Arabidopsis thaliana: one gene and its partners. The main gene of each other region encodes a partner of the protein of the gene in region 2 in a complex. Each region holds a gene or a part of one and is shown on either strand. Other genes may lie near its edges. The genes, in order: HCAR, NYC1, PPH and ACD2.

Region 1 (6,887 bases), on a different chromosome or scaffold from region 2:
TCCAAGCTTTAGTCATGGCCATGCAACATTGTTGGAGTAGGGGCTATAGGAAAATTTACTTTGAAGGTGACAATAAAGAAGTCTCAGAGATTGTCAATGGTCGGTCTTCAAATTTTGCAGTTTTTAATTGGATAAGAGATATAAGCGCTTGGAGATCAAAATTTGAAGAATGCAAGTTTACTTGGACAAGGCGATTTTCAAACATGGCTGCAGATGCTCTGGCAAAACAACAACTTCCTTTGAACACTCAGTTTTATTGCTATAACTATATCCCGTTTGTAATAACTGATTTTTTACATCGCGACTTTGCTACAGCAAATTATTAATAAAGCTGATGTTTGAGGAAAAAAAAAAAAACTACAAGATCAAACCCTAGTTCCTCCGATGAAATTGCGGTTAGAAAACTAAATATTGATTGACCTAATTCAAAGAGACCTTTTTTGTGCAGAAACTAAATATTAAAAATCCAAGGTTCCAAGAGATCAAATAGGAATTTAAGCGAGAAGCAACATACCTGAGTCTCGTGACAACGGCGCGTGGTTTGCGTCAATACTTGGGACTCTCGGTGAGATCCGCCATGATTTGCTAGAGAGATCGTGAAACGCAAGAAAACAGAGAGACAAACGGTGGCGAGATCATTGATGGTGTGATCACCGAGTTACAGTTCCGACGGTTCTGACGGTGGTGAAAATGGATGGTGATCATCGAGCTTTGACGTTCTCGTGATCGGTGAGTTCTTTTTGTAAGAGAGGAACAGAAACAAACAGAGGCTAAAAAGACAAAAGAAGAAGAAGAAGGTGGATTTTTTGTTTTCTTCTCGTAATCCATGCTTTGGACCTTGTATCAGCCACTTATGATCATTTGCTATATTGATGCTTTCCAATTTTAGAGTATTGAAATGGGTTTCTTTGACAATCATTTTGAGTTAGTCATCATTCCTTGTTCTGAATCAAGAATTGGCTTTTGTTATGTTGTCTAGGTTCTGCTTGTAACTAGAGTAATGCTATTGTAGTCTCTGTTGTTTATTTGTAGAATCATAGAGAGTCGTGGAAGCATGTTTTAGTTGTTACTCTCGATTTCTTGTCGATGTTGTGGTGTTATAAATTGAGCGTTTTAACCAATACAAGTTAGGAGATGGTTAGTATGTGACTATGTGTTAGTGGCCATGTATGTAGTTCGATCAGATAATCTGAATGATGTGCTAAAGAGCTTGCATAGGAAGACTGCCTTTGTGTTAGCTTGCATAGAGACTTGTTGCAATATATGAGACTGAAAACTATTATGTGAAAACTTTAATTTGTGTACAAATATTTTTAACTCTTAAAATTAAACTAACATTGTACCAATTAGCACATGAAAGAAACACAGAATTCTGTGAACATATGATGAATAACTATATAAACACATTATGGATTCAGTTAAGGAGACAGAAACAAGAAGATGAATTTCAGATATATAGCAATAGAGTCACTTATAATCATATCAGAGCTTATACTTTATACAAATTATCACTTTAGTCCTTAAATTAAAACCGATTTAATCGACAATCTTGTTATTCTTTAAAACAATTTGTTCTTATTTTCAATCTTTAAATTTTGCAACAATCGACAGAACTTATCGTTATTCCGTGTTTTTATTTTCATATCTTTCTTAAAATGTTTCAAAATAATATATGTTTAATATTTTCTGATTTACAATAGTTATTAAGTTATATGAAATATAATTATTTTAAATTTTATTTTATTTTTCAGAAAACTCTTATAAGAGAGCTTACCATTAGAATATGAAAAAAAATTAAAACTCTCTTATAACTTTTTAAAAATTTTAATAATAAAAAAATGGAGAAAGCCCGTGAAAGAGCTCTTACGAACCAAAACCATTCAGTCCGGTTAAGAATTGGTTATCAAGTTTGGTTCCTAAAAGATATCCAAGTTCAAAAGCAAAAAAATATCTTCTTTTCTCTCTCTCTACTCTCTTCTCTTCTTCTCTTCTTCTCTTCTTCTCTGGCTGGGCAACCATGATTACTGTCGTCACCTCCAGGCTCTCTCTCCTTCCTCCAGTCTTCTCCGTCGTTAACTCTTCTTCTTCGCGTTCCAAAGGTGCTCAATTTATTTCTGCCACGTCTTCTCTTTATAGCACTCTGTTTTACACACGTCGTTGATTCTTCAGTTTTTTAAAAGACCCGTCTTATACAAAATTTCAGTGTAACCGATCCCTGAAATTCGTTAAAGGGATGAAATTTTATCTAAGATTCGGAGTTTTCTTTTCGAACATAGTGGTAATGTTTGTCGAATGCTTGATTTGGTCTTCCACAGCTGTCACTATCGAGTTTGAAGATAGAAATCTTGTGTTAACTTAGTATGTATTACTGCATAATGTCAATTCTGTTTGAAAGCATCAGAATTTCGGAACAGATTTTTGTTTCGTATAGCATCGATCTTTGTCTTGTGTGTTTTTATCTTCTCTCTGAAGCCTGCATGAACCCTTCTCTTATGGCTTTAATTGCAGATATGAATCTAGAGCCAAAAAAGAAGGTTAAATTAAGAGAAGACTGGAGAGAAAAGTCCAGACCTATCCCACCCGGAGGAACCTATCCAGCTAAAGACCATTGCAGGTTTTTTCTTTCTTTTTTGTTTGTTTGTTTGTTTACCTCACTATTTTTGTCTCATTCTTATCAAGATCCTTGGTGTTCTGATGGGTTTGCAGTCAGTGCGGGCTATGCGACACCTACTACATTGCCCATGTGAAGGAGGCATGTGCATTTCTTGGAGATGGAATGTCAAGGATTGAGGTAATGTCCATATAAATGGATAAGATTTGATACTCTTTTTAATTGATGGGCTAAGATTCTTATTTTGTTAATATTTTAAGTTCTTGTGCAGAGCTTGGAACCTGTTGTGCATGGTAGAGGAAGGAAAGCAGATTCCTTACAAGATACATATTTTGGGGTGCATCAAGAGCAGCTCTATGCTCGTAAGTTGAAGCCTGTCGAAGGTAAATAGACACTTCCCTTCCACTGTTCCACATTTTCTACTAACTTCTTTTCCTGGCTCAATCTAAGCTAGGGCACTTTTGTGTCTCGTTCAAGATGAATTTAGCTTAGCTTTGTTGTTTACTTTTCATTCTATTTTCGGTTGCAGGAGCTCAGTGGACTGGAATTGTCACAACCATAGCCATTGAGATGCTGAAATCTAATATGGTTGAAGCTGTCGTTTGTGTGCAGAGGTAAAACTACTGTTGAATTTCAGAAATGGACTAGGCTTACATTTATCGACCATGCTGTAGATTTTTCCATCTATCCATGTAACTGATTTATTGAAATATTACAGTGATCCTGAAGACAGATTATCTCCAAGACCAGTATTAGCCAGGTTTTCCACCTTCCTAATGTGGTTTATTTTGAGTCCATTCTTCTTCAAGTCGCCATTTTTTAGATGTGGATCCATATTTTGCTGTTACTCTGGATATAGAAGCGTATTGATGTTTCATTTCTTTTCATTCTAAGGACACCTGAAGAAGTTTTGGCTGCAAGAGGTGTCAAGCCAACTCTGTCTCCTAATCTGAATACTCTTGAATTAATCGAGGTTATTTGCCAAACCCTTATTTCTTGTTTGTGTTTTCAATCACTGAATCCATTTCACATGAACTTAGAATTTGTATTGTAACAGGCTTCCGGAGTGAAGCGTCTTCTGTTTTGCGGTGTGGGTTGCCAAGTGCAAGGTATGGGCTCAACATACTTTTTTGTGGACGTATATTTCAAGTTTCTCCATATCGTGACTCTCATAGTATTGTAATGCAGAGTGATTTCTTATACTGCAGCATTGAGATCAGTGGAGCAGCATCTGAATCTGGAAAAGTTGTATGTACTAGGCACCAATTGTGGTATTTTCCTCATCCTATCTAGATTTGTTTTTTCTCCAGAACTTTCACAACTAGTTCTTGTGTTGTACTTTTGAACATTCCATGTTGTATATGTTATTTCGGAGTCTTGTATGCTTAGGTCTAGAAATGCTTATACATTTTTAAACAAGTAAAAAGAACATCTTTGATTAATAGTGGACAACGGAACACGAGATGGACTAGACAAGTTTCTGAAAGCAGCTAGTAAAGAGCCAGAGACTGTTCTCCATTATGAATTTATGCAAGATTACAAGGTTAGCATTAATACAAAACCATCACTTATCTGTGCATTTTCTTTGGTGATGCCAATCTTGTTCAATTTCTCTTATAGGTCCAACTCAAACACTTGGATGGACACATTGAAGAGGTAAATTCGCTTAAAATACTGTGTTGCTCTGCAATTGCAGCTGAAAGCCGTTTTTAAAAAACTTTTTTTGGCTAAAGCAGGTTCCCTATTTCTCTCTACCTGCAAACGATTTAGTAGATGTCATAGCTCCATCGTGTTACAGGTAATACAAGTCTCTGCATTGTCTCTATACCTTGAAATAGATAACCTGTCGGAAATTTTTAAAACTTGTCTACAATTACAAACCCTATCTTTTTTATTCTGCAGCTGCTTTGATTACACAAATGCATTAGCGGTGAGTGTTTCTCTAGCAATTAAGATGTCTTTTCACTTAATTTTGATTCTGCCAATTTCAAACATTTCCTGATATGTATGAGCTTGTTTATCTAGGATTTGGTTATCGGTTACATGGGTGTTCCGAAGTATTCAGGTCTGAACATGACTGACCATCCACAGTATATTACAGTGAGGTCAATATTTCTACGTATTTTGACATGGACCATATAGGTTCTCGTGGTTGGATAAAATTAGTTTTGTTTATGCCTTAAACCACAGAAATGAACGTGGGAAAGAAATGCTCAGCTTGGTAGAAAACCTTTTGGAGATCACTCCAACAATCAGCAGCGTAAAGTTTCTAACATTTATATTTGTTGTTATATTTAAGACTTTAAGAGTCCACTTAACAAATAACATGAACAAACACACCTTTTGTTGTTGTTTCAGGGTGATCGGCGACCTTTTGTGACAGAAACTGTTAAGGCAGACGATGCTGCTAAGTTTGGTATGTTTTCAAACGTATTCGAAACTCTTTTGTTTCTTGAATCGTCTCTGCTTAAAGACATTCAGTTTCAAGCAAAGCTAGATGCCAAAAAGAAAGTTCTCAGCAAATGCATGCAACTAACATTGTGCTAAAGTCTTCTAACTAGTCTATAATTTCTTAGGTCAAGGTCCTGCTCAGCCAGCGCCACTATTTGTTGGAAACATTATTGCGTTCATCCTAAATTTGGTAAGATTATTTCCTTATGAACACAAACCGAGAAACAAGCTCATTGCATAAAAAGTCAAAGAGTTTCTTAACTTGCAAAACCATTCTTGCTTCAGGTTGGTCCTAAGGGTCTAGAATTTGCTCGGTACTCGTTGGACTACCATACCATCAGAAACTATTTGTACGTAAACCGCAAATGGGGAAAGCAAAGGTAAGATCTGAAACACACTCCTAGAGATAAAAGTTTATTGCGATCAACTGTGTATTTCTATACTATTGGATCGTTCTCTAATGACCAAAGCTGCATTACCATCTACAGAGCAAACACCCACATGCCATCATATGCCAAAAAGATAGTGGAAATGTACAACAAAAACGGCCAAATAGATAAAATGCTCTCCAAGAAATGAACATTTTAGGCCTTTCTCATGTAAGTTTCCAAATGTATATTTCATCCTACAAGTGAGTAAATGTACATTGGTCCTACTGTTTCTCAACTTGTAGTATGTTAGTAATATCCAAAACTATTTCCCTCGTGAATTTGGTAAGACACCGGCAAGAAAAGATGGGTCGGTTTGGTGTTTTTTGGCAGAGAACAGAGAATAAGAAACAGTCTAAATCAGCGGCTGAATCCAAATCAACCCATGTGGGTTCCTTCCTCCATATCTTTAGGTTAAGGTGATGTCCGAGTAAAAGGTTGCAGGGTTTTGCATGAGAACATGAATAACTGTTTTAAGAGGATGGGAACCAGACATTTACACAGTTGGGGGGAATTAGCTTTTAATGTCTTTTTTTTGCTTGGACAAAGAAGAAGGAACCATGGTTAAGCTTCACTCGCTCGCTCACTCACTCACTCACTCACTAACTTACTCATCACCATATTTCACACATTGGAAACTTCAAATTTTACTCTCTCTCTTTTTTTCTTTTTTTGTCTTTTTGTTAGTCAAGTCTCTGCTCTGCTCGTTCAATGACTTTGCTGCAGAGACTCTCAGACCTCAAGTGAAACTCATAAATGTCTCTGCTCTTTTGCACCATAGTTGATTTTTTCTCACCAGAGGCATTGTCCTAATACAGAGCATGTAAACGTTTTTTCTAATAATATATTTAAGTGAAATAAAGCTTACTTTGGTACCTTGAATTAATTTTGAGTTGCAATTTGACATATAACAATGTTAGAGAATTCATTTACGTATTGCATATTTTGGATCTGTATCTGTATCTGTTTCAGTATATATATATTTATAACTAGATCCAACATCATATATAATATATGATTTCACTCAAGTTTTTCTGAGAAAGTTGTATAATGTTATATTTATTATCCATCTGTGTTTCAAATTAGATACATTGTTCATCCCTAATGGATTTTGCATATCCTACAGAAATGCATGTTTCAGTATTTTCAACTTGTGTTCCCTGGAGGTTGTAATCCATGAAACAACTTTAATATGGACTGTCCAAGACAATCATGTGTAAATCAATCATTTGCCAAATATAATGATTACAAAATGGCTAATAATTCCTTAATCAGTTAAATAACAGCTCTAACTTGTGAGAGTATTCTTCCAATAATGAAACAGCATGAAATTAGTTGTTTCTTTTCCTGATCAACAACATCATCATAGAGATAACACAACATGCATCGTTGAGAAA
Region 2 (5,097 bases):
ATACTTTCTCCAACCCTTACTTTTGTTATTGTCGTATTACAAAATTGTTTTTTTTTTTCTTCCGGACAGTGACGATTGATATTTAAGGTCTCGTTCGTCGTAAAAACGGCCGTAAAAAGCCTATTTGCCGACCATTCTGTTATATCACCACCCATATTCTGAGTCCTACTTTTTGACTTTTGTTTTTCAATCTTTCTTCTAATCGATTTTTTTGGCCAATGATTTAATCAAAAAAATAGACAAGCATATGTCTGAATTAATCCTTGTTGATAAAATCTAATCTTCTCTATGAGGCCAAACAATCTTTGGTTTGTTTTTGTTTATTTGGAAAAAAGGGTCAAGTGATGATTAATAATGCATAGTTCAAATGATCTCCATGATTACTATTCAGTAGCACAGTCTTTCGCTCCTATCTGATGGCCCTCCACTTTTTTTATTGATGCAATGTTATTGGAGCTGTGTTTTTTTAACTCCGCTTAATGGGCCTTTAAAGGCCCAACTAGTGAAAACTAGAAAATACTACAATCTGATAAAAGTTTATTACAATCTATTTTTTCATTGTTTTCAACAACGACACATTCTACAACTATAAGAAGTGTTTACATGAACAAATCGGTTCTGTTATATATATGTTTTTTATACATAACATGTACGTTTACAATTTTCTTAAAACACATCCGAGGAAGATGTTTGTTATGTGCCTGGAAAAGAGCTAGGTGTTGTGCTTTGTAAGATGATGAAAGCGCAAACAACAGAAAGAGAGAAAACAGAGACCCAAGTATTCTCTGTATACATCTCCATCGCGTCTGTTAACGACAACCTCGTCCTGTTCTCTGCCCAGTTCCTTAGTCTATCTGCTTCTGCTGCATATAACGCCCGTCCCTGCAAACACGTACACATCTTTGCGTCAGCTCAGGCTTAACCAAGTGAAGGATTTGTCAAAAAACTTGAACTAGAACTCAAGTGTAACACTTACTTGGTCATCAAACCATCGGCCTCTCCTTAGCCAGGAAGTGACAATAGCTAACAATATCCGAGGAGGAGTTAGGTAATTGACGGCTTTTCCCGAACCTTTCACAACTCGCATTCGTGGTACCAAAGTTCTAGCTACTGTCTCAGGAAGCTCACAGATTATGTTAAACATCTGCTTGTTTTTAATGCTCGAACCACTGCCAAATAAATGGTTGCTTCAATAAAACTCCGGAGCATTCTGTTCTAGGCCTTAGTGACAAAGTGTATGCATACCTGAGAAGAAGTTCTGTCAGAACCATGCCAGGGGATGCAGTGTGAAGGCCAACGTTTGTTTTTTGGCTTTCTTTCACTATAGACCCATGAAACTGCCTAAGTCCACATTTTGTTGAACCATATCTGCGAAAGCTCACAGACTCAGAAATGTGTTCTAATTCATTAGAGACTAGTAACGAATGATTTGAGTTCTTACACGGCAGTGAGAGGAGTACTTGAACCTCCAGAGCCAGCACCATCCATGTTAAAGATGTGTCCACCACTGTGCTGTCTGCTCATCACATCCATAGCCCCTCGTGTACATAGAATTGATCCAATCAAATTTGTGGAGACAATCTACAAAATAATAGTTACAATTAGACTAATGAACTTCACCATAAGCTCAAGCTGAAATTAAGCTTTAGGTTCAAAAAGGATTTTACCTGTGTGATATCTTCTTCCGTGAACTCGAGTAGCGGTCTAAAACCTTTGTTAGTACCAGCATTGTTTATCTATCCAAATGAATATAGACAGTGAGCAAACATATGACTAAAGATACAAAAAAAGTTACAAACTGTACAAAAAGAAATATGTTTCTTTACCCATATGTTGATGGAACCAAGCTCTTTTACAGCGAAATTCGACAGCTTCTCAACGTCTTCGGGTTTGCAAACATCACAGGCAATACCAACTACCTTAGCATCACTCAGTTTCTTTCTAGCTGACTCGCTAGCGTTACTCATAATCTCTTTGAGATTTTGCTCTAGCTCTTTGACAGTCATATCAACAGATTCAGAACTGATTTCACAAACAAAAACCAAAAAACAAATCATATTAAGACTTCATTGCTTGATAAAAACTAATCCATAATTCCATATATACAATTTATCAACCTGCGAGATGTGACAATGACTCTGTCTCCAGAGAGAAGAAACTCTCTAGCAAGAGCTTTCCCTAGTCCCCTAGTGCTAAAACACAGCATAAAAACATACATCAGCATCAAACCAAAACACAAAGAAACAAAAATCAAAAAATGCAAAAACAAAAGTAAAGAAGGTACCTTCCGGTTATAACAACATTCCGTGGACCGGCTCGATAATGATCTTCCAAAACCATGTTAGCACCAGTCATGGTTCCAATGATAATTCCACCAAGCCAACTATACCAAACCAATGAGTTCATCGAACTATCTCCACCTTTCATCACAAATACATACACTCAAAATCTCAGTCAAACAAAATTACCAATAAAAAAACTCTTCTACAATAGTTTTTGCACTAACCTGATAATTGAAACCCAATCAAAAGAATAGCTCCAGTACTTGTCATCGTCACAATGTATCTCGCAATTTGAACAGCAACCTACAAAATCACAAACACATAAAAATTAAGCTAATCAAAGCAAAAAGATTGAAAATTTCATTAAGAAAAAAAGAGGAAACTTTAAGACTAACCGAAGAGAAAACCATCTCCAAGTTTTCAACTTTCTGATTATACTCATCTTTAGACAAGAACCCTAATTTACTAAACCCTAAAAACCCAGATTTCAAAGAATCCCACGACCCATTTCCCTTAAATTTCTCAACTTTTCTCTTTCTTTCAACTTTTTTCTCACACCGATGCACATAAACCCTATTACTACGTTCTCTACAAGTCAATCTTGACCCGACCCGTATCGGATCTCTGAAGAAGAGACGGTGCTCCAAGACTTGTGGGTACACTTGAATCTTCGTTAAAGTAGTCATAGCTATGGAAGAAGAGTGAGATAATGATAAGCTTTGAAACTCATACAAAAAGATAACTTAGAAAACAAGATAAACGAAGGAGCTTTTTTAGGGACCCAAAAGATAGATTGTTAGATATTTTTCAGCTTCGGATTCGTCGAAGACGTTAAATAGAGTGATCGGAGGAAGAAGAAGGAGATTAGGACGAAGAAAGAAAGAGGTGAGGGAAAGAAAGAAGGAAGAGAAGTGTGATGGCCACACGTTACAGCAACCTCATCTCGTTAGCCTAACATTGACACGTGTCATTTTGTGTTTCTTTTGTCCCTTCGCATGTTTTCAAGATATTTTTTTCTCTCTTTGGGAGCTACTTTAGATTTTGGTTCACATGAACAAAATTTTGATTCAGTTTTGCTTCTAGAAAGCCAAAATTTGATTTCAAATTACATTTTACTCAGACTTCGTCATTACTTATGTACCTGAGTAAATTATTGTAGTATCCATTGTCACATTTGAGTAGATGATAGAGATTATTGTCAAACTACCACTTACTTATTTATATTATTTTAGAACAATAAAAAATTATAAATTAAAAATTTAATATCAAACAAAGAAAAGTTGATAATGTTTGTGTTTATGATAATTTTCTCCTTTGTGTAAACTTTAAGCTTTTTGTCTCTACCAACTCAATAAATTTATAGTCCCTGTACAAATTTTAAAAATTAATCTTTTTCTAAACTATAAAACAAAAATTTGGACCCTTTTTATGCTAATTTTTTAAAAACACATTAAAATTGACATTTTCATACTAAAAAAAAAAAAATTGTAGGTCTTTTCCATACTAATCAGATCCTTAAATTTACCAAAAAAAATTTGGATCTAGAACAAATGCGCCTCATGCACCTCCAAAGAGCCGGTCTGCTTTACGTGAGACCCAAATATCAGTAAACCTATTAAAAGTCCAACTTCCCTAATAACGAAAACCTAAACGTGAAAGTATGTGGACGTGTACATATGTATATATGCGTTTATATATTTTTCCTCAGTAGCTGAATTTTATGTGTTTTATATGCTCGAAAACATGGAAATAAACATGATTAGATCATGAAGATCATTGAACCCCTACGATCCCTTGAATGTCCAACTTTTGTCTCTTATTGATCACTTACTATTTACTTGCTTCACTTACTTACAACTGTGACACAATAACAACCCTTTCCCCCTCTTTTATTGATTTGTCCTAGTTTTACTCTCTTCTGACAGACTTGTTTGAATTACTTCTCTTCCAATGGAATTCGATCCATAAATACTATGTTGGATACAAACCAAAGGTCCCACATCGAAAGTTTAGAAAAAGAGTTTCTAATATATAAGCCAAGTCCAACTCCAACTAGTATGAGGCCTTTTGGGAAGGAACCCAATAACAAATCTTTGTGGGCTTGAGCATATAAGCCCAAAGAGGACAATATCATACTAAATGAGAGTTGGAATGGGCTTTGAAAGCCCATTAAATGGTATCAGAGCCAGGTTGAAACACTGGACCTAGGGCTTGGGCTATGATCGATGTGGGAAAATCTCTCAAACATGACACGATAAGAAGGTGCCTCAAGAAGGAGGTCCAAGTTCGTGGTCTTTGGTTTGAAGGGGAGATTGTTGGGTACAAACCAAAGGTCCCACATCGAAAGTTTAGAAAAAGAGTTTCTAATATATAAGCCAAGTCCAACTCCAACTAGTATGAGACCTTTTGGGAAGGAACCCAATAACAAATCCTTGCGGGCTTGAGCATATAAGCCCAAAGAGGACAATATCATACTAAATGAGAGTTGGAATGGGTTTAGAAAGCCCATTATACTACAGACGATTAACTGTGCACTTCCAGTAGTCGTGTTGTCAAAATTTGACTAAAGCAAAATAAAACATGCATGTTGGTGTGTCCTTACCAGATATGTTACACTCCTATTTCCCTTTAACCATACATCTAACCAGTGTTCCTAAGGCAAGATAATCACTAATAGCCCACAACAATATAGTTCTAAGTGTGCAATTCTCCTTCATATAAGAATCATAAACCTCTATACATTCTTTCCACACACCATTTAGATCATCTATAATAGGTGCAAGATACACATCTATGTTGTTGTGTGGTGCAGTTG
Region 3 (5,048 bases), on a different chromosome or scaffold from region 2:
TTCTCTTTAATGTTGTTGTAAGACATAAATCAGACCAACAATGTTGACCGACATAAAAATAAAAAAAAGTTCAGAGCAACAATTAGAAACAATTTCAAAGTACCCCCAAGAATAAAATTGCAACAACTAGCATTGTTTGATGGTTACCATTATGTTATCAACTAGTGAGAGATAAAAAAACATACTGAGAAGTAATTTCTTACAACTAGTGTAGAACGACACTTTAGTAGCAGCTTTGTAACACCGGTTTTTTTTTTTTGACACTCAAATCAATAAATAGATAACGAGATTTTATCAGAGACTAAGAAACAAATTAAGAAAAGAAGCAGACCAAATCTCATGTTGGATATATAGCCTGTGTAAGTAAGTTTCTCAAAAGTGGTTTGGATAGCCTTCTAATTCAGTCCCTTATTTGTTGACCGTGGAACTGACAAAAATGAGATTCAAGCTAAGGGAAGAATATGGTCAAGGATACGACTTTGCCTCGAGAAAAGTAACCAATGATACGTCTTTTCAAACACCATACATGTTCAATAAAACTGTTCACCTTTGGAAATTATTAACAATTCAAATACACTCACTTTCTTCTTTTGGAATCAGAGTAATTTCAAGCTCTCTTCCAATTTTTAAGACAACTCATATGGCCTGCAATGTCGCCTTCCTATATTAATCTGAACCTGTGGATTATATACAACAATGCAAGAAAGGAGTTCCTTCGATTTAGGTGACTAACTATCAAGTAGATATTTTTCTAACTTTTCCTTTTGAACATTTTAGAAACTTGATTCTACAGACAACATTATATAGCTAGCATCGGATGCAACATAGATTACAATTAATTTACACTAGACGACTGTTCCATGCTTCTTCTATGCAGACTTCCCTCCAAACACCCTTATAAAACTGGATCTGAAAGATTCTCTAACTCCTCTCCAGTACGTATAGTTTGACCCATATAACCACAGATTCACTGCTTTTTTCCAACCATCTCTCGGGAACTCAATTTCTCTACCAATCCTGGACTCCTCCCAATCTTCTTCAGTGTCCTCCAAAAGCGGGAGCGCTTCAAAACCACCAGACTCCAGGTGCTTGATCCACCCGCGCATCAGATAGTTCACCACCTGCTCGTTTTCATATCCCAAATGGTGGGTTCATTATACCTAATTGCAGAGTTTGAAGAATTTATTGACTAGTTCATTATACCTCAGGGACTTCATCGTGTGGGCAGTGACCCGCTGGGCTGATCTCGTAGTATGGAGCGTTGGGGATTTCCTTCTTTATCTTCTTTCCCCATAACGGTCTCACCCATGGATCTTCTCTTCCATACATGAGACATATCTGAACATTGTTTTCCTTACACCTAGCATAAACCATCAAATAGCAGCATTCCTCATAAGCAATAACACCAATCACGCAGAGTAAAAAACATATAAAAACAAGAAACCACACTGTCTTATACCTAGATAAAGCTTCGGAGAAAGATAGCTCTCCACCAGGAGCAAGCATGATTGAAGCAAACGATGCTGCAGCAGCCGGATGCTGTGTGACCTCCACAATACGTGAGAATACTTTATCCACATTGATAGAATGGTCTGTGTAGACCTGTTTAAGTATCTCAGCTATGCTTTCAGGATCACTTATCTTTTGCCACCTGCAGTTTCATTGGGAAGTAAAGATATTAGACTGATAGAGATAGAAATAGAAAATGATACTTTTCAGGTGAGGAGATGTGTTAATAAAGTCTCCCTTACACCAATTCTGTGATTTTTTTCACTCTTTCCGGCAGAGGGAATGCTCCGGGCCATGGAAAGAGACGTGCTAGCTTTGGGGATCTTACTGGATTAGGGAAGAAACCCCAGAAAGGTGTTGCATTAAGCAAGGTAACACCCTTAACCAGGTGAGGATGGGTTGCTGCAAAGTAGAGAGCTACATACCCTCCAAGTGAGTTCCCTGCAATGTACACAGGCTCACCGATAACCTGTACAACACAAATACCACATACTCTTACCGACTCAGCAGCTTATTTCAGATGAAAAAGATCGTGATCTCAAACTAGAACACAAACGGAATCAAAGAACAGAGATGAATTCTAATATCTAGTGCATCCTAAACTTTCCCATTCCCAAAGCAACACCAGAAGACTCCATACCCACACTTTCAGGTTCTGAGCTGAAAACTATTGAAATCCATGAGTATACGACACATAGCAACAATCTACACTAAAAAAAAAAAGCTAACACACTGCTTTTGAAATTACGACTAAAAGAACAAAATCAACAGCTTAAAGAGTAATAGAACAACTGAACTCAGATATTGCTAACCTCTTCTACAAAATACTGAACTTGATCCCTCCAGAGATCCAGAGAGAATACAAGTTGATCAGCCCACGGTTCAGTTTTGTCACCAAATCCCCAAAATGGTTCCTTATCTTCCGAGGAACTGGTTTCTTCAGTCATGGTAGTAGGATCTTCAGTAGGGAGAGATAAACCCTGTCCAAGAAAATCAATAGCCCATACTCGATAATCCCTTCCCAAATCGGTAAGCTGCTTCTCATAGTGAAATGAACCAACGCCAAAGCCAGGAAGAAACAACACCGCAGGAGCATCGAGATTGTCACAACCGGCTTTCTCATAATGTACTCTAAGCTTGGGCTTCCACTCGCAGTGAGAATGACTGATTCGAGCAGCAATTTCACCATTTGATTCATCAGGCAAACCAGGAATCAAAACCTTTGACGTTGATTCTCCTCTTCTGGCTATACGACCCAAGTCATCATTCTCACCAACAACATAACCATCGGAATTTCCACTTCGAATCACAAGTCTGGATTTTTTGACCCCTGAGAATAACAAACTTGACCGATTTGGGACCAATCTTTTCGTTGCTAATTTACTACTCCAAGTAACCACAGAGCACTGGGGCACAACGTTCAGTGAGATTATCTCCATAACAAGTTCCTGCAAATGAACAACCAAAAGGCATATCCTTTAATACGAATTTTCCACTCATATATCTCAACTTCATAGCAAAGCTAAGAATAACAAGGAAAATCACATATGAAGCTGGAATCTTTGTATAGTTATCAGAATTTTGCTTCAAAAGCTGAAACCACATACAAAAAGTTGATGAACTTGCGGTAATCTTCTATGAACTCGTCTTATCAAATCCTAATCAAAACAAAGCAAATCAAGGTCAAGCCAATCTTCTATCAAATTGAAACCAAACAACAACAACACCACCCGATTCATCGACAAAGAACTCCAGCTATATAATAAACCCAGGAAGAAAAGAAAGAAAAGAGAGAGTTGCAACTTGTACCTTTTCAAATTCCAGAAGCGAGAAGCTTCATCAAATGGTCTCTCTGAGAGCGTTATTGAGAAATTAAGCGAGGAAAAATCTAAAGGTGAAGAAGAAATAGAAGAATTGGGTTGCTTGCTGGCTTGGTTAACTTCAATCGTTCGGTGCAAACCGACAGCAACGTTTTTATCGAGTTTTTATTTTTTCTTAAAGGATCCAAAATTCATACTGTATTATTAAGTGTAGGGTTATTTTTTTCACAATATGACATTTTGTTTTGGATCTGACATTGCTAATTTGACACCGATGTAACATTGCAAAAACACATGTTTGTTGCAAAAATATGACAGAATAATATTTTTTTTAAAAACAATTGATTTTTGATCTTCTTTTCCATTGTGTAACAATCGGAAAACAAAAAAAACAATCGAAAAACCTGCAGTTTTCATATCAAACAATATAAAACCCGTTTAATTTTTGAATGGTTTAATCACTATTTTAACGGTGTTATTTGAGTTTTCTAGTTGATTTTAAATGTTAGAGAATTGATCTTGTGTGAACTAAAAATCCTAATGGTCGAAGACTAGAAAGCGAAATACACTACTCTTCAATTAGAATACAGACAACTATCTCTAAACCGAGCGTAGAATCAATAGCAATAAACCGACCGTAGAAACTGGTTTCGCTGTAACCATAACCTTTCTTAATAAGACAACCGCGTTTTACCAGTAAACGACTTTTCCTCGCAATTTAATCCCACTTTTGTTATTTTTTCAAATTCGTTTTTCCTCGAAGGAGCATCGAGTAAATATATCATTAAAGAGCCTTTAATAACTTAGACATAATAATTATATCTTTAAAAAAAAAACAGAAAAATTCTTTGCTTTGCAACAAAGGCAGACAGACAAAAGGCTAATTCGGAGCTCTCCTCCACATCTTCTTCCAAAACACAAACAAACCCCCAAATTTCCAGAAAAATCAGATCATTCTTTCATCAATCTCGTCTTCTTTAATCTTAGGTGAGAATTCATCAGCTCAAAAACGCAGCACCCGATCGTTTTACGACTCAAATCAGAGAAGCTGATTCTTTTCCAATCATTCCAATTTCCATTTCTTCCTTGGGAGGTGATCGACGATTATTCAATTTATGTTTTTCAATTTCTCTTTCTGTATTCGTCAATTTGCTTGAATTTGATCCTAGGGTTTTGATTTTGTTGACTATTTTAGGTTTTACACCAAATTAGCCGTCGAAAGGGGTGCTTCTTTGATCTAATTTCGATGGCGGGATTAGAGAAAAACGCTGATTTCTCAGGGAAGACGACGAAATCGGCTACAACGACGTCGTTCTTCAACAGGTCGCTTACAATTCACGGAAGAACAGTGGTGGATTCGGGCCCCAAATCCCACAATCTCAATCCTTCTCTCAATCGTACCACCTCCATTACCAAATTCTACACCCCCGTAGAATCGATGGGAACTTCTCTTAAAGGCAAAGTCAAAAACCTTTGTAGATTATTCGAGACTTCCAAACCCGTTAAACCTGCCTTAGCTGAGATTCCTCAGAAGCAGAAATCCGGTAAATCCCTTTTACCCGAATCGCGGATATCGCCTTTTTCGAGCTTAAACAACTCGGTCATCCGTCTTCCCGGGACAGAGGACAGGATTGTGGTGTATTTTACTAGCTTGAGAGGGATTAGACGGACGTATGAGGATTGCTATGCTGTCAGAATGATATTTAGAGGGTTTCGGGT
Region 4 (3,947 bases), 9.8 Mb from region 2:
TTACGTGAGTTTCACTCTAACGAAAACTCATTTACTCTCAATTTAATGCTTCATTTAATTCGTTTGGTGAATTGAATCATTCTTTTGTAGTTGGTTAGCCAATTTCGTAATTTTCTCATAATTTGGGGGTTGGTGAGAAAACCTTCTAGAAGCTGAGAATGTTCTTGTTCTTTTTTTTTTTTTTTTTTTGGTTTAGGGATTTCGTAAAACTGTACCGGATAAATGGGAATTTGCAAACGATTATTTCCGGAGAGGCGGGGAGGATCTGTTGACGGACATACGACGGCGTAAATCGGTGATTGCTTCAACGGCGGGGAAATGTGTTGTTGTTGGTTCGCCTTCTGAGTCTAATTCTGGTGGTGGTGATGATCACGGTTCAAGCTCCACGTCATCACCCGGTTCGTCGAAGAATCCTGGTTCGGTGGAGAACATGGTTGCTGATTTATCAGGAGAGAACGAGAAGCTTAAACGTGAAAACAATAACTTGAGCTCGGAGCTCGCGGCGGCGAAGAAGCAGCGCGATGAGCTAGTGACGTTCTTGACGGGTCATCTGAAAGTAAGACCGGAACAAATCGATAAAATGATCAAAGGAGGGAAATTTAAACCGGTGGAGTCTGACGAAGAGAGTGAGTGCGAAGGTTGCGACGGCGGCGGAGGAGCAGAGGAGGGGGTAGGTGAAGGATTGAAATTGTTTGGGGTGTGGTTGAAAGGAGAGAGAAAAAAGAGGGACCGGGATGAAAAGAATTATGTGGTGAGTGGGTCCCGTATGACGGAAATAAAGAACGTGGACTTTCACGCGCCGTTGTGGAAAAGCAGCAAAGTCTGCAACTAAAAAAAGAGTAGAAGACTGTTCAAACCAGCGTGTGACACGTCATCGACGACGACGAAAAAAATGATTTAAAAAACTATTTTTTTCCGTAAGGAAGAAAAGTTATTTTTATGTTTTAAAAAGGTGAAGAAGGTCCAGAAGGATCAACGCAAATATATAAATGGATTTTCATGTATTATATAATTTAATTAGTGTATTAAGAAAATAAAACAGATGTTGAAGTTTTATTGTTGCTTAATTTATGTCTTCATAATGTAAAAAAGCATGTGAAATACTTGGTCTAAGGTCATCTACTTAGTTGAAAACTTGTGAAAGAGGAAGAAATTTTACTTTTATGTTTGATTGATTTTCTTTGCAAGTAGTAGTAGGTGGTTTCCGTGTTTTTACGTAATCCGTTGAATATTTTTCCCTCGAAATTGTCTTTATAAAAGTCACAGAAACATTTTCTAGAACTCTTTATCAGGAAAATAAAAATAAAGATGTCTTCAAGGAATCGAAAAAATACAGCAATATACTAAATAGAAAATGCTATGAAATTAAATAAAAATTTAGTAAGGTTCCAAAGACACTACTTAACTAGAGAGAAAAATAATTCCAACTAGCTCTACAACAAACAAATCATTTACTTGTTTAAGAATCGAAAAATTTAGAAATTTATTCTTATTATTTGTTTGCCCAATTAAGTCGCTCTTGGCCCAATACTTGCATCACTTGATTGAGTAGAAGAAGATCACTTACCAACTCTCAAACCATTTAAAAATTAAAAAGCATAGTTTATTTTATTTAAATATGTGTATGTAATAATTCACCACAAGAAATATATTACAAACCACAAAACTATAATCCCGGTAAAATAGTAATTAATTTCTTCAAAAGTGTAAATAAAAAAGAAGAGACATAATTTAGTCATAGCCACATAAAAAATGGCGATGATATTTTGCAACACTCTCTACTCTTCTTCTTCTCCATCATATCTCTCGCCGTTAACTTCAAAACCGTCGCGATTCTCAAAGAATCTCAGACCTCGAGCTCAATTCCAGTCCATGGAAGACCACGACGATCACCTCCGCCGAAAATTTATGGAGTTCCCGTATGTGTCACCCACGCGGAAGCAGCTCATGGTTGATCTCATGTCGACGGTGGAGAATCGCCTCCAATCACAACTCCTTCCCTGTAACCTCCCTCCAGATGTACGAAACTTCAATAACCCTAACGGTTCCGCCGAAGCATCTCTTCATATCAGATCCGGCGACAAATCTTCTCCGGTACTTGCGACGATTAACTCTGTTTTTCAGTTATGAGATCGAAATTGACTGTTTTGCATGCTTGTTTTAGAGCTCAATTGCTTGATTTTAAGTAGAAACAGACTTCAATTTCGATGTAAATCATAACCCTAAAAAAAAACTTTTTAGAGAATCTTAAAGTTTGTTTTGTTTTGCAGATTGATTTTGTTATAGGAAGTTGGATACATTGCAAGATCCCAACAGGAGTATCTTTGAATATAACAAGCATCTCTGGATTCTTAAACTCATCAACAAAAGCTCCAAACTTTGTGGTCGAACTAATACAGAGCAGTTCCAAGTCGCTTGTGCTAATCCTTGACCTCCCACATCGTAAAGATCTTGTTCTTAACCCGGATTATCTCAAGGAGTATTACCAAGACACTGCTCTTGATTCTCATCGACAATCTCTCCTTAAGCTACCTGAAGTTAACCCTTATGTGTCTCCTTCTCTCTTTGTCCGTTCTGCTTTCTCTCCTACTGCTTCGATGCTTAAGATTGATGCGGAGGAAGAGGATAAGTTGGAGGAGATATTGAGAGATCATGTTAGTCCAGCTGCTAAGGAGGTTCTCGAGGTTTGGTTGGAGCGGTGTGTGAAGGAAGAAGAAGAGAAGATTGTGGTTGGGGAAGAAGAGAGAATGGAGTTGGAGAGAAGAGATAAAAGCTTTAGAAGGAAGAGCATAGAGGACGATTTGGATTTGCAGTTTCCGAGAATGTTTGGTGAAGAAGTTTCCTCCCGTGTTGTACACGCTATTAAAGAAGCTTTCGGTGTTCTCTAGATTATGTAACTATATATATACATCAGTTAATGTTCATTGTACTAAACATTTACTTTCATCAATGTCACAAGAACGCAAGATGACCATCAAACAAGTCCTGTTTTCTCCTAAGAACGTCTTTGTTGTGAATCATCTCTGAATCGGATTCCTTCTGATTCATTTTAATACTATGGGATTGTAAATTTATCAATCAAGTTTCTAATTTATCTGTAAAAAAAAGTCTTGAATTATTGTTTTTCTCATGGATTTTAAAGTTTTTTTTTCACTATTTTACATGGATGTTTTGTTAAATTTCTCGTTCTCTAGATCATGTCATTTTACATTAGCAAAACCAATATAATATATAGATTAATATTAACGAAGGAACATAAACGTGCAAAACTAAAAGTTTTAAAGCTAAATCGCTTTCAAAAGAGTTAGTAACCAGACAAAAAAGAGACAGATCATCGGCAACTAATCTCGTCATCGCATGCATCATAAACCAAATTAACTAAATCATCCATTTAATCCATTTGTTCTTATCAGATCATCCTTTTCCTTCCTACACAAGAAATGGTTAGTGTTTTCTTTTCTCGATTGTCTCTTAGTTTAGATTCTTTATCCGACTACTTTGTTCATCGGTTTTGTTTTTCTTTTTGTCTTCCGGAAGGCGAATTACATGTCGGAAGCAGCACAGCTCAGAAGAGGTCTAAAGCCTAAAGGGAAGACTTATGGGTTGACCAATCAGAAGAGACGAGAGATCAGAGAGATCTTTGATCTTTTCGACATAGACGGTTCAGGTAAACTATTAAACCGATTCTTTATCCGATTTACAAAGTTATTGCTCACATGATTTAGTGCATCATTTCATATGTAGGTAGCATCGATGCTAGCGAGCTCAACGTTGCTATGAGGTCAACGGCAATTTTTCTTTCTTTTTCAAAGTTATTTTCTTCAAGTTCTAGTTAAGTATAGTACTAAAAAATTATCAGCTGATTACAGGTCTCTTGGATTTGAGATGAATAATCAGGTTTGTTTGTTTTCCTTCCTTTTTTCTTCTTTGTTTTAATTTCATGGTTT

The links.
Region 1: NYC1 (region 2) and HCAR share a complex: the UniProt entries of both Arabidopsis thaliana proteins name them as parts of the SGR1-CCE-LHCII complex.
Region 3: NYC1 (region 2) and PPH share a complex: the UniProt entries of both Arabidopsis thaliana proteins name them as parts of the SGR1-CCE-LHCII complex.
Region 4: NYC1 (region 2) and ACD2 share a complex: the UniProt entries of both Arabidopsis thaliana proteins name them as parts of the SGR1-CCE-LHCII complex.

The regions. Positions count from the first base shown.
Region 1 is NC_003070.9:1,281,623-1,288,509, reverse strand, and holds HCAR (coenzyme F420 hydrogenase family / dehydrogenase, beta subunit family), read left to right. Parts: upstream 1-1,890; 5' UTR 1,891-2,017; coding exon 2,018-2,099; intron 2,100-2,508; coding exon 2,509-2,614; intron 2,615-2,706; coding exon 2,707-2,791; intron 2,792-2,882; coding exon 2,883-2,994; intron 2,995-3,140; coding exon 3,141-3,225; intron 3,226-3,329; coding exon 3,330-3,371; intron 3,372-3,505; coding exon 3,506-3,584; intron 3,585-3,668; coding exon 3,669-3,720; intron 3,721-3,819; coding exon 3,820-3,882; intron 3,883-4,056; coding exon 4,057-4,154; intron 4,155-4,231; coding exon 4,232-4,267; intron 4,268-4,347; coding exon 4,348-4,409; intron 4,410-4,513; coding exon 4,514-4,541; intron 4,542-4,636; coding exon 4,637-4,716; intron 4,717-4,801; coding exon 4,802-4,871; intron 4,872-4,969; coding exon 4,970-5,027; intron 5,028-5,187; coding exon 5,188-5,252; intron 5,253-5,347; coding exon 5,348-5,442; intron 5,443-5,550; coding exon 5,551-5,641; 3' UTR 5,642-6,347; and 1 more. Other genes in the region: AT1G04625 (Polynucleotidyl transferase, ribonuclease H-like superfamily protein), read left to right, coding at 1-278, 590-679. UniProt on the Arabidopsis thaliana protein: Probable iron-sulfur flavoprotein that converts 7-hydroxymethyl chlorophyll a to chlorophyll a using ferredoxin as a reducing equivalent. Catalyzes the reduction of a hydroxymethyl group to a methyl group. Belongs to the chlorophyll catabolic enzymes (CCEs).
Region 2 is NC_003075.7:7,683,724-7,688,820, forward strand, and holds NYC1 (NAD(P)-binding Rossmann-fold superfamily protein), read right to left. Parts: upstream 3,284-5,097; 5' UTR 2,969-3,283; coding exon 2,678-2,968; intron 2,586-2,677; coding exon 2,507-2,585; intron 2,421-2,506; coding exon 2,285-2,420; intron 2,193-2,284; coding exon 2,118-2,192; intron 2,023-2,117; coding exon 1,827-2,022; intron 1,737-1,826; coding exon 1,668-1,736; intron 1,582-1,667; coding exon 1,442-1,581; intron 1,369-1,441; coding exon 1,246-1,368; intron 1,170-1,245; coding exon 977-1,169; intron 883-976; coding exon 694-882; 3' UTR 511-693; downstream 1-510. UniProt on the Arabidopsis thaliana protein: Involved in chlorophyll b degradation. Belongs to the chlorophyll catabolic enzymes (CCEs).
Region 3 is NC_003076.8:4,451,194-4,456,241, forward strand, and holds PPH (pheophytinase), read right to left. Parts: upstream 3,516-5,048; 5' UTR 3,319-3,515; intron 3,168-3,318; 5' UTR 3,115-3,167; coding exon 3,055-3,114; intron 2,958-3,054; coding exon 2,322-2,957; intron 1,979-2,321; coding exon 1,752-1,978; intron 1,652-1,751; coding exon 1,460-1,651; intron 1,361-1,459; coding exon 1,204-1,360; coding exon of another isoform or gene 1,198-1,203; exon of another isoform or gene 1,122-1,197; coding exon 870-1,121; 3' UTR 542-869; downstream 1-541. Other genes in the region: AT5G13810 (Glutaredoxin family protein), read left to right, coding at 4,576-5,048. UniProt on the Arabidopsis thaliana protein: Alpha/beta hydrolase dephytylating specifically the Mg-free chlorophyll pigment (pheophytin), yielding pheophorbide. No activity on chlorophyll. Belongs to the chlorophyll catabolic enzymes (CCEs).
Region 4 is NC_003075.7:17,440,875-17,444,821, forward strand, and holds ACD2 (accelerated cell death 2 (ACD2)), read left to right. Parts: upstream 1-1,737; 5' UTR 1,738-1,752; coding exon 1,753-2,094; intron 2,095-2,270; coding exon 2,271-2,888; 3' UTR 2,889-3,421; downstream 3,422-3,947. Other genes in the region: HSF4 (heat shock factor 4), read left to right, coding at 1-4, 197-832; CEN2 (centrin 2), read left to right, coding at 3,441-3,443, 3,538-3,667, 3,745-3,781, 3,870-3,897. UniProt on the Arabidopsis thaliana protein: Catalyzes the key reaction of chlorophyll catabolism, porphyrin macrocycle cleavage of pheophorbide a (pheide a) to a primary fluorescent catabolite (pFCC).